2 separate regions of the Mus musculus genome follow, and region 2 is reported to be linked to region 1. The links are microRNA targets in miRTarBase. Many come from high-throughput screens and were not tested one by one. Region 1 holds a microRNA gene; the other region holds the end of a gene's coding sequence.
The links. The annotated mature microRNA mmu-miR-26a-5p reads UUCAAGUAAUCCAGGAUAGGCU and lies in region 1 at 2,874-2,895, shown strand. An mRNA with a match to its seed (bases 2 to 7 or 8) in the 3' UTR can be bound and repressed. Matches are read on the target gene's strand: a 7mer-m8 pairs with bases 2 to 8, a 7mer-A1 pairs with bases 2 to 7 and ends in A, and an 8mer does both.

Region 1 (7,117 bases):
ACTAGCCTGGCAGGCAGGCAGAGCAGTTACTCTCCTGTCCTGAGCACCTCCCCACTCTTTGTGCTGAGTATTTGCCAGGGCCCTGTAAAACTTTCGGGACAGGCACACACCCTCTTCCCATCTCTGCTGTCTACTCCCTACCATCCCAGAATGACACCAAATGTTCCCACAGCCTTAGTAGTCTTTAGACCCCGCTGCCTCTGCTCTCTGCTTTTAAGCAGGACCTTCCTGTGTTGATGACTGTCTGCAGGCAGCTTGGCTCTTCCCAGTGTTGTGCTGAGGGGCGATTGGGCTTACTTCTTGTTGGGCACAGCTCAGCAGCTTGGCTCTGCTTTTAGATCCCTGGGACCTGCCTGCTCCCCGAGGTGACAGAGCAAGATCAAGGCAGGATCTGCGTGGTCATTGACCTGGATGAGACCCTTGTGCACAGTTCCTTTAAGGTGAGTCAGCGTGGTACCCTTCCCTTGGGCCTGTGTGAGCCGCACAGCAGGGTCAGTAAGGTGAGCAGATGAACGTGGAAATGACAGGGACAGGACAGGCTGTCGGCCACCCTGGAGTCACAGATACCCAGAGGCCAAACTGAAGAGGTTAAGGCACACACACACACACACACACACACACACACACACACACACACCCCACCCTAAATGCTGTGTCTGTCTCGACTTACCGTGGAAAAAGTAGGTAAGCATTATCTGGTTTTCCTGACTGGTGCGTTTGTTAACTCAAGAAAGCCTTAAGTTGGGTGCAGAGGGAACTTCCACAATCCCTGTGCTTGGGAAACTGAGGCAGGGAAATCACAAGTTCCAGAATAACATGAGTTACCCAGTAAGAGCCAGTCAGTCTTGAAAGAGCCAGGCATGCATGCTTGTGTGCATAGCTCACGGAAACAGGAGATGAACACGGCTAGCCCAAAGAGCCAGGCATGCATGCCTGTGTGCATAGCTCATGAGAGCAGGAGGTGAAGGCTAGCCCAGACTATGTAGCAAGACCCCATCTCAAAAGCCCTGAAACTTACCTCAGGTAGAATTTGGTGGGTAGGATGGATGGGTGGATGAAGGAGAAGGGAAACCGGAAAATATGTGATACTTTTTGCCCTGTGCTGGCTAAGAACTGCTCAGTGGGCTGTCTCCAGGGGGTAGGGTTTCCTGTCTGCTGACACTGTGCACTTCTGCCTTCTAGCCGATCAACAATGCTGACTTCATAGTGCCTGTAGAGATTGAGGGGACCACGCACCAGGTGAGCTGTTTGCCAGCATACACCCTGCCTCAAAGGGAAACTGCCTCTCAACCTGTTTATCATCAGCTTCCATGTTTGTTGATGGCTTGTCTCCAGATCATCCACACTTCCCTCTAGCCAACACTCCTGTCTCTATGTAGTCAGGCTGTTTGCAAGAACTGTTGGCTTTTTTAAAAATATTTTTAAAGAATTATTTGTTTTATGTATATGAGTACACTTAACTGTATTCAGACACACCAGAAGAGGGCATTGGATTCCATTAGAGATGGTTGTGAGCCACCATGTGGTTGCTGGGATTTGAACTCAGGACCTCAGAAGAGCAGTCAATGCTCTTAACCACTGAGCCATCTCTCCAGCCCAGGATAGGGTCTCTTTATTTAATTCTAGCTGACTTGGACCTCACAGAGGGCTGGAGTTAATTAAAGGCCTTCACCATTGTGTGCAGCCCCTGGCATTTTCACATCATAGTCCTAGCCATCACTGTGGCTTTTTAAATGTGCATTACTGGTTTTGCCTGCGTGTGTGTCTGTGTGAGGGTGTCGAATCCCCTGGAACCAGAGTTACAGTTGTGAGCTGCCAGGGGTTGCTGGGAATTGAACCCAGCTCCTCAATGAAGAGCATATGCTGTCCAGCCCATGCAGTCCATGCTTAGACCAGGCGAGCCTTGCTCTGTGTGCAGGGCTGTTAGGATTTGCTCCTGTGCCCTCTGGTGAAGAGCTACTGAATGTGTCTTCCCTGGCCCAGGCCCCTCCTATGACACCTTTCTGACCTCTACACTGGTTTCTGTAAGTGCTCCATATGCATCTGTCAGAGTGGCAGAGTCCAGGCTCTGCCGTGTACACCCTGCTGCCTAGGGTTAAGGACCACGAGGCATTGGTGAGAGACCATGTGCCCAGAGGCATGCTGGTCGGCCCAGGGGAGGGCCGGAGACAGTGATGCAGACATCCTAGCAAGCATGAGACCTGTTTTCAGACTGAGAAAGTTCAGCTTGAGACTGTCCTGGGTTTGTCATCGTAGCCCTCTGCCCCTTTACGAACTTCTGTACAGAGCCTCGAAGCTGTGGCTCTTTACTCCACCCATCACCCCCTGCTGTCTAGTTGAGGAAATAGAAATGTACAGAATGTATGGGGCTCTGGCATGGGCAGAAGGGGCCTGAGTGAGAGGGCTGCCTGCCATGTGGATCTGAGGAGAGCCTGGGAGGAGAGCAATGCTTGGTGAGGAAGGGGCTTGTTTGTGAGGCTTAAGAAGTGGAAGGTGATGGATAGATCCATTTGCAGCTGCATGGAGGGTTCTGCTGCTAAATGGGAGGGCTCTGCTCAGTTGGTGCTGATGTGGGCTAGGAGGGACTGGGGTGGGCACACCCCCTGTGCTGCTTTAAGGAAGTGAGTGAGTGGGCCTAAGGAACACTTGTGCAGGCTGAAGTAAGAAAGAAAGAAGAAGCAGCAGATCATAGACTGGGTGGCGAGTTAGTTGAAGAACCTTTAAAAGCGAGCAAGTCCTCGAAGCTGGTGGTGTGCACACAAACCTACGAGGGTGTGTGTTTGAAGAAGTTTGTGGTTCTTGCCAGATGGGACCTACACAAGCCGTCCTGCTGGAATCCCGTACAGAAGGCTACTGTGGAGGCTGCGGCTGGATTCAAGTAATCCAGGATAGGCTGTGTCCGTCCATGAGGCCTGTTCTTGATTACTTGTTTCTGGAGGCAGCGCATGGTCTGCCCTCAATGAAGATGGCTCCTGGGAGTGCATTCCTTCCTGCCGGGTTAGGGTTGGGCCTGTTGAGGCAGCAGAAGCCTGGTAACATGGTAGAGCTGTCCATGGTGGGGCAGAGGTCTCAGTGTCTCGACCTGGGTATCTAGGCCTGCTTGCTTTTCTGTCAGTGCACAGGCAGAGCCGGTGCTGTGTCCTTGGCCTTGTGGGGTTCCTACAGCAATCCACTCTGTCTCCCAGGTATATGTGCTCAAGAGGCCTTACGTCGATGAGTTCCTGAGACGGATGGGGGAGCTCTTCGAATGTGTTCTCTTCACTGCCAGCTTGGCCAAGGTACCTGACTGCAGGAGGGGCAGAAGGCAGGGGAGAGCCAGCCCTCAGCCTAGGCTAAAGCTTCTCCTTCTTTTCCAGTATGCTGACCCTGTGACTGATCTCCTGGACCGGTGCGGGGTGTTCCGGGCCCGCCTGTTCCGAGAGGCTTGTGTGTTCCACCAGGGCTGCTATGTCAAGGACCTCAGCCGCCTGGGAAGGGACCTGAGGAAAACTGTCATCCTGGACAACTCCCCTGCATCTTACATCTTCCACCCAGAAAATGCAGTGAGTGCTCGCATCAGGGACTGGGGTGGCTGCAGGCTGGGCCCGTGGGCTTTATCAGAGGAGTCCACAACCCCTGTGTGGCCCAGCAGCCTCCAATGGCACTGGAAAGGAAAGGAAATATCAGATAATGTCACTTTTTCCTGCCCCAGGTGCCTGTGCAGTCCTGGTTTGATGACATGGCAGATACAGAGTTGCTGAACCTGATTCCAGTCTTCGAGGAGCTAAGTGGAACTGATGATGTCTACACCAGCCTTGGGCAGCTGCGGGCCCCTTAGCCTTCCTGCTCCAAGAAACGGCCATCCCAACAGGGGACTCTGCTACACTGTGCCTTTGTGGTCAGCCTCACTGACGGGGTCTGCAAGTAGCCAGGGCGTGTGGGACAAAAGCAGGTCACACGCAGAGCAGGAAATCAGACCAAGACCCAGAGCTCTCTGCACCCCGTGCTCAGTTCCCAGGTGGTTGTGTGGGTGTGTGTGCGTGCATGTGCCCGTCCGGTAAACTATGGTCCTGGGTGCCCAGTTGTGCAGTAGGGGGAGAAGCTGAAAGATAAGGACTCAACCCAAGTCATTTGTCTTCTTTCCTGCTATGCTGTGAGCTACTGAGCTTTACAGCCATGAAAACTATTGTAGGCTCCCTCGCCAAACCATGGCTTTCCCTCAGCATCAAGACCTGTGCCAAGGAGAAGGGAGAGGCCGGAGGCTGCTTTGGATGCCCAGACACACATCTTTCAGAAAACACAGAAACCTAGCCAGCAGCTGCAGACATGTTTGGGAATATGAGAGCATGTTCGCAGACCCACCAGGTTCTGTGTCCTATGGGCTACACCTGGCTCCAGCAAGAATGCCTGCCATGGGCACTTCTCTGTACCCGGGCTCCAGTGCCAGGCCAGCCTCTCACTCCCAAGCCATAGTCCTACTCCCATGGGAAAGGAGGTCTTCTCTCTGCCCTGGAGGAGGACATATAGCTGATTTCTGTTCTTTTAACTCTTAAAAATCTCTTTCTAAACTTGGAGTGGTTTATATTCGCCCGAGCTCCAGTCCTGGGCCTGAGGTTTGTGTGGGAAGCGCTGGGGTACAAAGAAAATGCAAATGTTCAATGCAAGATGTCTGTCTCCTTGCGTGTAGATCCCAAAAGTGCTCTTCAGGGGTTCTGTGCTAGCTGATGCAAGGACATTAGCTCCAAAGGCTGGGGAGGGCTTGGCTCTCCCTCTGTGTCTTCCTGGTGTCCCGCCCTGGCCAGCTCTCGTCTGCTCTCGCCTTTATCCTTCTCGGCTGCTGCTCTTCCTCTCCAGAGCCTTGGGAGAAGGACTTTCCCCGGTTGTACTTAATTGATTGGTTGTCCCAAGTGTTGCTCTTACTTGATTTGCCAAATGCCTCCTGCTTCTCGTTATAGGACTGAGTGAGGTCCTCATAGCTCTGTGCTCTGGGCAGCTCTGAGCTCTCAGCCCTGTTGCTTTCAATGTCAGTCACAGAGTGGAAGTTTCCCCAAAGTGGAAAGCTACCATTGGGAACACAAGGGGCCCCTGAGGGGCCTCCACCTCACTGCCTTAAGTGAGTCCCGCCCACTCCCTGCCTCCCTCCGAGGTGGGCGGGAGTTCCTACCCCATCTCTGCTTCCCCTGGAGGCCGGCCAGCGTTTGTGGGTTGGTTCAGGTGTGGTACCTCCCACTCAGGAGTCAATATTTTCAAATTTTTCTAGTTTCCACACACGAGGTCCTGCCTGGGGTTTGAGAAAGCCTGGTGGAGGAGTGTGGTGGTGTGAGTGGAGACTGGCTGGCATTCCTCCAGCACTCTGCAGACTTCTTCCTGGGCCCGAGGCTATGGAGCCTTGGCTTTCACTTCTGTGACAAACACATGCCATTTCCCCAGCCTCATTTGCTGGTGTCTGTAGGGTCCTCCCAAGGTGAGCTGAGGGCTGCAGGTGCTAGCCAGGAACATGGGAGCTTGACTGTGGCTTCAGGTCCAGACCCTGATCTCACTGGCATCCCAATACTGCAGGAGGGGTCTTCTCACAAAGCTCTGAGGGCTGGTCTTGACTAAGCAATAAGAGCCTCAGAGTTGATTGAATTTTAAGGTCCCTTTCTGGCTTCTTGGTTCTCCATGTGACCAAAGCCCAGTGTGGCTTCATGGGAGCCCTGTTACTTCTCCATGAAACCCCAGCTCTCTAGGCCTGACTGCCACCAGAGTCCTCTTACCACCTGCAGTCTGCCACAAAGATGCCATATCAACTCCTCTCTTCCCAAAACTAAACAGGATCTATCATGGTGGCACGGAGTCAGCTAGATGTTGTCTCTTGCTATCCCTGTGCTAGTTCCATGTTTTAGAAGCAAAGTGATACTGGGGAGGAGAGGAGGGCAAGTGAGAGGAGCCAGTGCCTCCTGAAGCCCTTGCTCCACTGCCACCAGCCCGCCTGCCCCAGTGCAGACTGGTCTTCAGGAGTCAGTAGACCACCGGACCAGGTGTCAGCATCCACTCCAAGCCATGCTAGGAATCTGCCCCCTGCCGGGTTCAGCTCTTTAAGGTGCCTCTTCAGGGACACAGTGTGTGTCTGATTGGGCTTCGCATCAAAAGCCTGACGTTCCTGTCCCTCTTATAGGGGGAGCTTTGGACACAGGACCAGTTTGATAAAGGGCCAGGTAAGGGTTTCCACTCTGCACATTGTAGAGGGGACACCGAAGGCCCATGGGTCCCTAATTAAAGAAGTTGAGTGAATTTGCCTTCGTTCAACCAGGGACCTATCTCACTCCCTCCCAAAGATTTTTGTATAATTGTATAACCCCCCTCCCCCTGTTAACAGTGGCTCAGAAAAGCTTTGTACTAAAAGCATGGGACCCTCACAGCAACCATTCCTGGGAGATGGGTCCCTTATAGGTCCATGACCTGCTCTGTTCAGAGGCCTCTTGGCAGTGTGGCCTGTTTGTGCTGTCCTGCATCCAGTGTGTTGGCCTGGCTAAGTGAAAACGGTGAGCTGTTTCCCCTTTGGGCTACTTAACCACGGCTACTCCTTTTTTAAAAATGTCCTAGTTCTCCCCTACACACACACACACACACACGGTTTGATGAATTTCCAAACCACGGCTACTCCTTTTTTAAAAACGGGTTTGAACTCCTGTTTAGCCAAGAGTGATCTTGAGCTGGTCTCCTGCCTCCACCCCCTGAGTGCTGGGGTTACAGGTGATAGCTGGTCTCCTGCCTCCACCTCCTGAGTGCTGGGGTTACAGGTGATCGCTGGTCTCCTGCCTCCACCTCCTGAGTGCTGGGGTTACAGGTGATCGCTGGTCTCCTGCCTCCACCCCCTGAGTGCTGGGGTTACAGGTGTGATCACCTTGCTGGCTTGTGAGGTGCTGGGGACAACCCAGGGCTTCGTGCATGTCAGGCACACACTCCCAACTAAGCTACATCCCCAGTCCCTCTTTCTAGAAAACAGATAAGTCCATGTTCAGGGGAGAAGAGGTCACAGGTCAGGCCAGCTGCCCCATCCTTTAGTTCGGGGTTAGCTCCCAGAACTGCCCTGCACCATAAGCTGGTGATTCTCCATGCCTGTCCTTACCCCGGATCTGGCTATTCCCGTGATGCC
Region 2 (7,117 bases), not on the chromosome of region 1:
TGTCCCCTCTGCCTGTCCTGGGCTGGGTCTCTCTGGTGTCTCTTCTGTCTTCTGTCTTTCCTCTCTCAGTAACCATGGACTGAACCCCCCCTCCCCACTCTGCTTTCCAGGCCTTTGATCCAACCCCATGGCTCCCCTCAACCTTCTTTGTGCCCTGACGACACACTTCCCCACCCTGTCCCCCCCAGTTCAGAGGAGCACTCTCTCCAGCTGCCCCGCCCCCTCTGGTTCTCGCTTTTGCAGTTAATTGTCTCTTGGACTTGTGGAGTTTCCCCATTTTTCAACACTTCAGCCAGGAGCCAGCATGAAGGCTCTCCTTTGCTCTCTCTGACCCCTGACCCCTGTTTTTGTTCCAGGCCACTAAACCATCTAAAGAGGTGAGCGGTCCGAATGAGACCTCAAGCCCCGGCTCAGAAAAGCCCTCTGGTTCCAGAACCTCCATCCCTGTATTGACTTCCTTTGGGGCAAGGAATTCTTCCATCTCCTTCTAGAAGCCCCTCATGCCACCACCCCAGCCCGCCCCTCCCATACTCCCGCCATCCGTCCCTCCTTCCTTTCATGCCCGCTCTACCCTGCCCACTCTCACGCCTGAAAGGTTGCAGGGGGCATGGCCCTTTGCCCTCTCATCTCCTCTTGGTGTTTTTGGTTTTTTAAGCGATTTCCTTTAATTATCTTTCTTTTCCTTTTTTTCTTTTTTAAAGAGCAAATGAGAAAGCTAAAAACCAAACACACCAACTTCCCCTGACTTCCGGTTCCCTAGCGGCCTCTGCTCCGCCCACTTCCTGTCATCTTCTTCCCCTCTGCTCTTTCACCCTCCTCCCCTCCCCTCCCCCCAAGTCCATCCAAAGTTCCCACCTCCTCTAACTTCCCAAGAACACTTGGAACAAACTCTGAGCCACGGAGACTTGGAGCGGAGCGAGGCCCCCCTCCCGTTACTGGGTTCCTTCCTGGAGGAACAGATGGACAAGGACTGACCCAGCATCAGGCTGGACAATGGACAAGGGAGACCCTGGCCTTGGAGACGCCCACTGTCTGTCCAGCCTTCGAAGAGACAGAACTCTGCTGCTGGCCTGTGGTTTTTCTTTCAAACCAGGGTGGGCCTGGAAGCAGGCCTAGCTGGAGGGGATCCCCAGAGAAGAGGCCAAGGCTGGGTGTGAGGAGGGAAAGGGGGGACACTAGGTGCCAGGGGAGAAGCCGGCTCGCTGCTGCTCAGTGTCCGGCTGGTGCTAGCAACAGATGGAAGGAGGTCTCCAGGACACCTGTTATGGAAGGTGCTTCTGGGGACAGCCTGCCCCTGGGGATCTGCCTTGGGAGAGGGCAGTTCTGAGAGGGGCATCTGGTACTTTTAGTTCCCTAATTTAGCACTTTAAATGCCATTAACTTATTTTATGGGGGTGGGGTGGGGAAGATGGAAGGGCCTAGAAACATGTTTGGAGGGTGGGAAGGGTCTGGTTTGAGGGATACAGGGAGACGGGACGGGTGGGTGCAGTAAAGTCTCTGACCCCTAGAGGGCGCAACTTGACCTTCAGCCAGCCTCTATGATTTGAGGGTTTTCAGGGAAGGCATGAGATGCGACGACTTGCCGGTGGGGATCTGGTGACCACTTGTCAGGTGTTTGAGGGTCCCCAAGGCAGAAGAGCCAGTTAGTACTCCAGTCTGGATACCTTGCAGGGGTCCTGCACAGGACAGACTGGCTTTGAATGGGTCCAGGAGTCTAAGGGAGAGGCTGACTTGGTTCTGGCCTGGCCCCCAGCCGCTACAGTGGGGCCAGAGCAAGAAGGAAGAAGATCGGGAAGGTGGAGGGGCTTCCCTTTGGAGCACAAAGCATGTAAGCACAGAGGTGTGGTCTTGGGACCAGTCCCACAGTAGCACAGAGAGGAGCCATTGAAGGGACAGAACCCCAGGACCCTGGCGCCCAGCAGGGGAAAGCCAAGCGGCAGCTGTTGAGGGTTTGGGTTGGGAGGGAAAACTGGGTTGTGTTTCCTTTCTTTGATTTTGTTTATTTTTATTTCTATTTTTGTTTTGTTAGTTTGCTCTTGTTTTCTAGCTTTGGGTCATTTTTGTACTAAGGCAAGCAAGCCTTTTTGAAAAATAACAAAAGAAGAAGAAAAAAATCCCTCCCAGAAAAAAAAACAAAAACAAAAAACAAAACAAAAAACAAAAAAACCTAAAAAAAATAGAAAAAAAAAAAGGACCTCACAATGATGCAATTACTTTTAATTGCAAGCAACTCTTTACATTTAAGTGAAGTGTCTTAACATTTTATATTGTTTTAAAAATATATTTACATATTATATATATATAATATACGTAATATAAATATATATAAATATTTAAAAAAGAAAAAAAAAAAAAGAAAACCACAGCACACTCTCCCTGGCCACTGTCTGGCAGGGGAGGGGCTGGGGACAGGCGTGTGGCCTGGTTTCTGTAGTCCCTGTGGAGCAGTTTGGTTTGATTTGGCTGTACAGAGACCCCTGGCTTGGGAGGGGAGGGGGAGGGGCCCCTCCACTCCATTTCTCTTTGCTTGCTACTCTTTGCTTGCCCCCACACCCGCTCAGCCCTGAGACCTGAGTGTGCGCCCCTCCGTCATTGTCCTGAGTTGAGTGTCCTTTGTGGAGAGACAGGGAGGTGGAAGAAGTGACTATTCATGCAGGGGCTGCCCCACGAGCTCAGGCAAGGCCCCCGTGGGCTTTGCGTAGTTCTAGTTCTTCAATTTGGTTACTGCGCGAGTGTGTCCTGGAAGGAATTTGTATGGGATTGTGTGCAGCCTCTGTGTGTGTGTGCACACGCTGGCACAAGCCTACATAACTTGTGTGTGCACATGCATGGGTTGTGTGTGCATAGGCAAAACGTGATATTGTATGTGTGAAGCCTTGTACATGTATGTGAATGTGACCTGCCTGGTATCAACATGATTGTGTGAGGAGAGCCTTGGGAGTAAGGACGTGTGTGATGTGTGTGGACACGCCTGGCTGTTCACGTGAGGACCACATAGGGATGGGTTTAGATAACGTCAGCTGTGGGTATGGTTGTATGCAGGTGCAGGCAGGCGTGTGAGAGGGTCTCTGTGTGTGAGAGTACTCGTGTGCATGTGTGTGTTCCATCATCCCTGCACCACTCGCCCGGCACCCCTCCCAAGCTCCCCACCCCACCTGTCTTCTCAAAGCCCACAGCACGTCAATCCCCGCCCCCACCCCCAGCTGCATGCGCCTCGCCGCTATCCATCAGTGTGTGCTTGACAAGAGAAACTGCCACATCGGGGGACCCTGTACCTGGTCCCCTCACCCCTGCCCGCTGTGCTGTGATACTCGCATGGGGGGTTCTCTCTGGCCCCTTCCACAATATACTCTTTTCCCCAGGGGCCTCGGGCAAAGGCTCTGAGTGAGGTCCCAAGTGGGGCCCCCCAAGGCCAGCCCGGCTCCACACCCACCCGTCCACCCTGTAGGGCCTGTGTTGGTGTAGAAGTGATGGCGTCTGTGGATATTGTGACCTCTGTCAGTGTAAATTGACGATTTCTAAATGGAAAGGGTTGCTGTGTTTTCTGTCTCCTTTTTAATGTCCTTTCTCTCTTCCCCACCTCCCCGCTCTCTTCCCGTCCCTTTTGGTTTTTCTAGCCGAGTGTTGGGGCTTTAATAAAACTTGTTTCTTTTTTCTCTCCTGGATCTTCTTCCTGTGGGCTGTGCCTCGTTATTTCACTGGGGCATGGAAGGAAGTGGGGTGAAGAGCAGAGGGGTGGGGACTCTGAAGCCAGCATGCCCTGAGTTAGAGGGCATGGCACAGAGAAGGGACAGACAGGGCAGGAAGCACTTGATTCCTGCTACCATGGGGAAGGACACTGCAAGCGCCTTTTTTTTTTTTTTTTTTTTTTAATTTTGAGACAGGGTTTCTCTGTGTAGCCCTGGCTGTCCTGGAACTGGCTCTGTAGACCAGGCTGGCCTTGGCTCAGAGATCCACTACCTTCCTCTACATTCCCGGTGTGGGATTAGAGGCATGTGTTACCATGCCCAGCTAACTCCACTAATTCCAAAGAGTCAGCTTCAGGCTGGATGTCACAGAAGAGACCGCCAGTGAGTTAGATCCTGGGCATCTTTCCTGTGTCACAGAACCAGAGATCTCTAAACTCACAGTTTGGATTCAGCTCCGCCTGGCCCCAGTGCCCAGCTCTTGATGGTCAGATTACCTGGAGCGCTGCCTTGTTGGGTTCCATCCTCTGGCCCACTGGGAGGGATAAGCCCTGATGTATACTCCATCACTTTCAGACTCCTGGAACTAACGGAAACTTACATGAAATACATGAAACAGATGTGCAGTGAAATGTACCTGCTACCCACAGTGTGCAGGGCACGGGCCAGATGTCCCACTCAGGGTTTCAGAAAGCCTCAATTCAAGAATTCTGAAGGTCTTGCTTGCCACAGTTCCCACTCCTTCTGTCTTTGAGACTTCCTATATTCTTGGCTGAGTTACCAGATCTACCCGTCTGTCCTTGGTCACCTCTGTCCCATGGGGAGGCAGGGTCCTGAAAGTACACACTCCCAGCCATTTTTGGAATCCTTAGCATCATTCTCTAACAGTCACCAGCACACCTGCTCACCGCTGCATGAGTCACCTCCAGCCATTGCCCTGAGTCAGACCTCAGTCTACCTAGAGGCTACTCATGTGACTTTGAGAATGTCAGCAGGTCGTTGTCAATTTCCTGTAGTATTCCTGGAAAACAAGAGAGCAGCCAACCCCCTCCTCCTTACCCCCTCCCCTGACATTTTTAAAACAGAGAACAAACATAGCATCACCTGCATGCCAGAGATCATGCCAGGCACAACCCTCACCCTCCGAGTGACTCCCGAATAGATCTCCTTGCTGCTGTGCCTAGGTAACCCCGGGGCCAACTGTAGCCTGTGGCAGAGGAGCCAGCCAGGAAATGGGGGGCGAGTGTCTACAAACTGGTTGGCAGCAAGCACTGGGACAAAGAGACAGCACTGTAAATATGGTGGCGATGCGCAATGTGGACCTGCCTTGGATGGCCGGGCCCTGGGGTCCCCTGAGTGGAGACCATAAGTATGAGGACTGGAAGGGCTGGGGGGATGACTCTCAATAGTGTGCCTGCCATACAAGCATAAAGACCAGTGTTTGGATTTCCACCACCCACATAAAACCCAGGCATAATGGTTCAGGTCTGTGACCCTAGGGTAGGAGGAGGGTGTTGAGGACAGGTCCTCAGAGCTCACTGGCCAGCCAGGTTATCCAACAGGTAAACTCCAGGTTCAGTGAGAGACCCTGGTTAGCAATCGAAGACACATACTTCCGGCCTCCATATATGTGTGCTCACGCACACACCCAGAATACTAACACAGAGCTTTAAAGATTGATTTTAAACTTCCCAATAATGGTGAATCAGTCGGAAGCCAGCCTGATATACATAGCTAGTTCCAGACTGCCAGGGTTACATAGTGAGACCCTGTCATCATCAACAACAACAAAAAGAGGGGTGGAGTTGGGAGTGGGACATAAGCCTGTAAGCCCAGCATTGGGAATGCAGCAGCAGAACGTTTAGGAACTAAAGTAAGATTGAGCAGGCTGGAGAGATGGCTCAGCGGTTAGGAGCACTGACTGCTCTTCCAGAGGTCCTGAGTTCAATTCCCAACACCACATGCTGGCTCCAACCATCCGTAATGGGATCTGATGCCCTCTTCTGGTGTGTCTAAAGACAGCTATAGTGAACTCATATAAATAAATAACTCCTTAAAAAAGGAAAGATTAAGCAAGATCGTGAATTTGAGGCTAGCCTGGGATATACAAGCATCTGGAGGATCAGGAATGTGTGCTAAGGCAGGGTGATCTAGAGCCAGTCTGGATTAGAGAGAGAGAGAGAGAGACCTTTTCCCTCCTGATAAATGAAAGTCAGACGTGGCTCACACCTGTAATCCTTGCTCTGATGCAGGAAGCATCCTTGAGTCAGCTTAGGCTATGTTGTGGGACTCTGTCTTAACAAAACCAACCAACCCAACAACAGCAACAACAACAGCAAAAATAGGAGGACTCCCTCTCTGGAGCTGGTTACAGAGGCCAAAGGCAGGGCTAAGGGTGAAAGGAAAGAACTAGGAAAACCCAAGTAGCTCAAGGAGAGACAGCTGGGGGTGGGGTGGGGGGTGGGAGGTGGGAGACAGGGACAGGGATGGGGAGGGGGATGGGCAAGCTCAGGGGCCAAGAACAGGAAACTGTGTGTCTTCTAGGAGCTGTGGCAGTGCTGGGAAGGTTTCTTACCTTTTTACATTTTATATTTAATTGTGTAGGAGTTTGCATATGAGTGAAGGTTTCTGAGGAGGCCAGAGGAGGGGTCTTGGATCTCTGCTATCTGATGTGGGTGCTGGGAACCGAATGCTGCCCCTGTGCAGGGCCGATATGATAAGCCCTTTGCTAGGCAAGCGTCCAAGACCTTCCCAGGTGCAGAGCTGCTTCTCCGCGGCAGCTTTCACGGTTGTGGGTGCCAATGAATGAATGAGGAGATTGAAGTATCAGGGTCTTGGCAATGGCACCACATGATGGTCCAGAAGGAAACCTAGGACTCCCTCCAGTGGTCGCATTAGTTGAGCCAGGTAGCCATGATCCGGTCCCTGCCTATGACAGGAAAGTGGTATGTGTGTGTGTTGGGGGAGAGGGGGGCTACTCCTCTCCCTCAACACTAATTTTTCCTAAAGAAACATTTCTCAGGAAACAGCAAACTTTATTACAGGGGTGCAAGGTTGGAGTGCGGCTTGCTTGCCTGCCTTTAGAACTCGCTCAGATGTGTTTTCTACGCCATAAAATTCCCATCTAACATCCACAGCCCAGTGGGCTTTAGTTTGTGGATGTGCATCCAGCACCACATTCTAATTTTAGAATATTTTCAACACCCACAAAAAAAAACCCTGATCCCCTCCCCCCAACTATCATCACCCATTTCAGCTCCTTCCTCTGTGACACCCCATCCCTGGGGAATTACTCATCTCCTTCCCCTGTGGGGATCCCCCAGAATTTACCCAGGGATGGAACCACACAGCATCCTGGCTTCTTTTCTGCCAGCCGTGTTAGCAAAGTCAGCTGTGATAAAGCATGCAGGCGAGCTGCCTTCCTTCCTAGG

Region 2: miRTarBase lists Srcin1 as a target of mmu-miR-26a-5p. The part of its 3' UTR that is shown has no 7-base or 8-base seed match.

The regions. Positions count from the first base shown.
Region 1 is chr10:126,992,670-126,999,786 of GRCm38, forward strand. Mir26a-2 (microRNA 26a-2) reads left to right here and starts at 2,861; the gene lies at 2,861-2,944. Ctdsp2 (CTD (carboxy-terminal domain, RNA polymerase II, polypeptide A) small phosphatase 2) reads left to right here. Exons shown (of 8, transcript NM_001113470.1): 4 at 339-440; 5 at 1,183-1,239; 6 at 3,186-3,278; 7 at 3,357-3,542; 8 at 3,692-7,117. The coding sequence ends at 3,817. Mir546 (microRNA 546) reads left to right here and starts at 5,771; the gene lies at 5,771-5,891.
Region 2 is chr11:97,505,888-97,513,004 of GRCm38, reverse strand. It overlaps Srcin1 (SRC kinase signaling inhibitor 1), which reads left to right. Exons shown (of 20, transcript NM_018873.2): 20 at 357-3,665. The coding sequence ends at 491. Among named protein-coding and RNA genes, the nearest start is that of 4933428G20Rik, 9.1 kb to the right of the region's middle.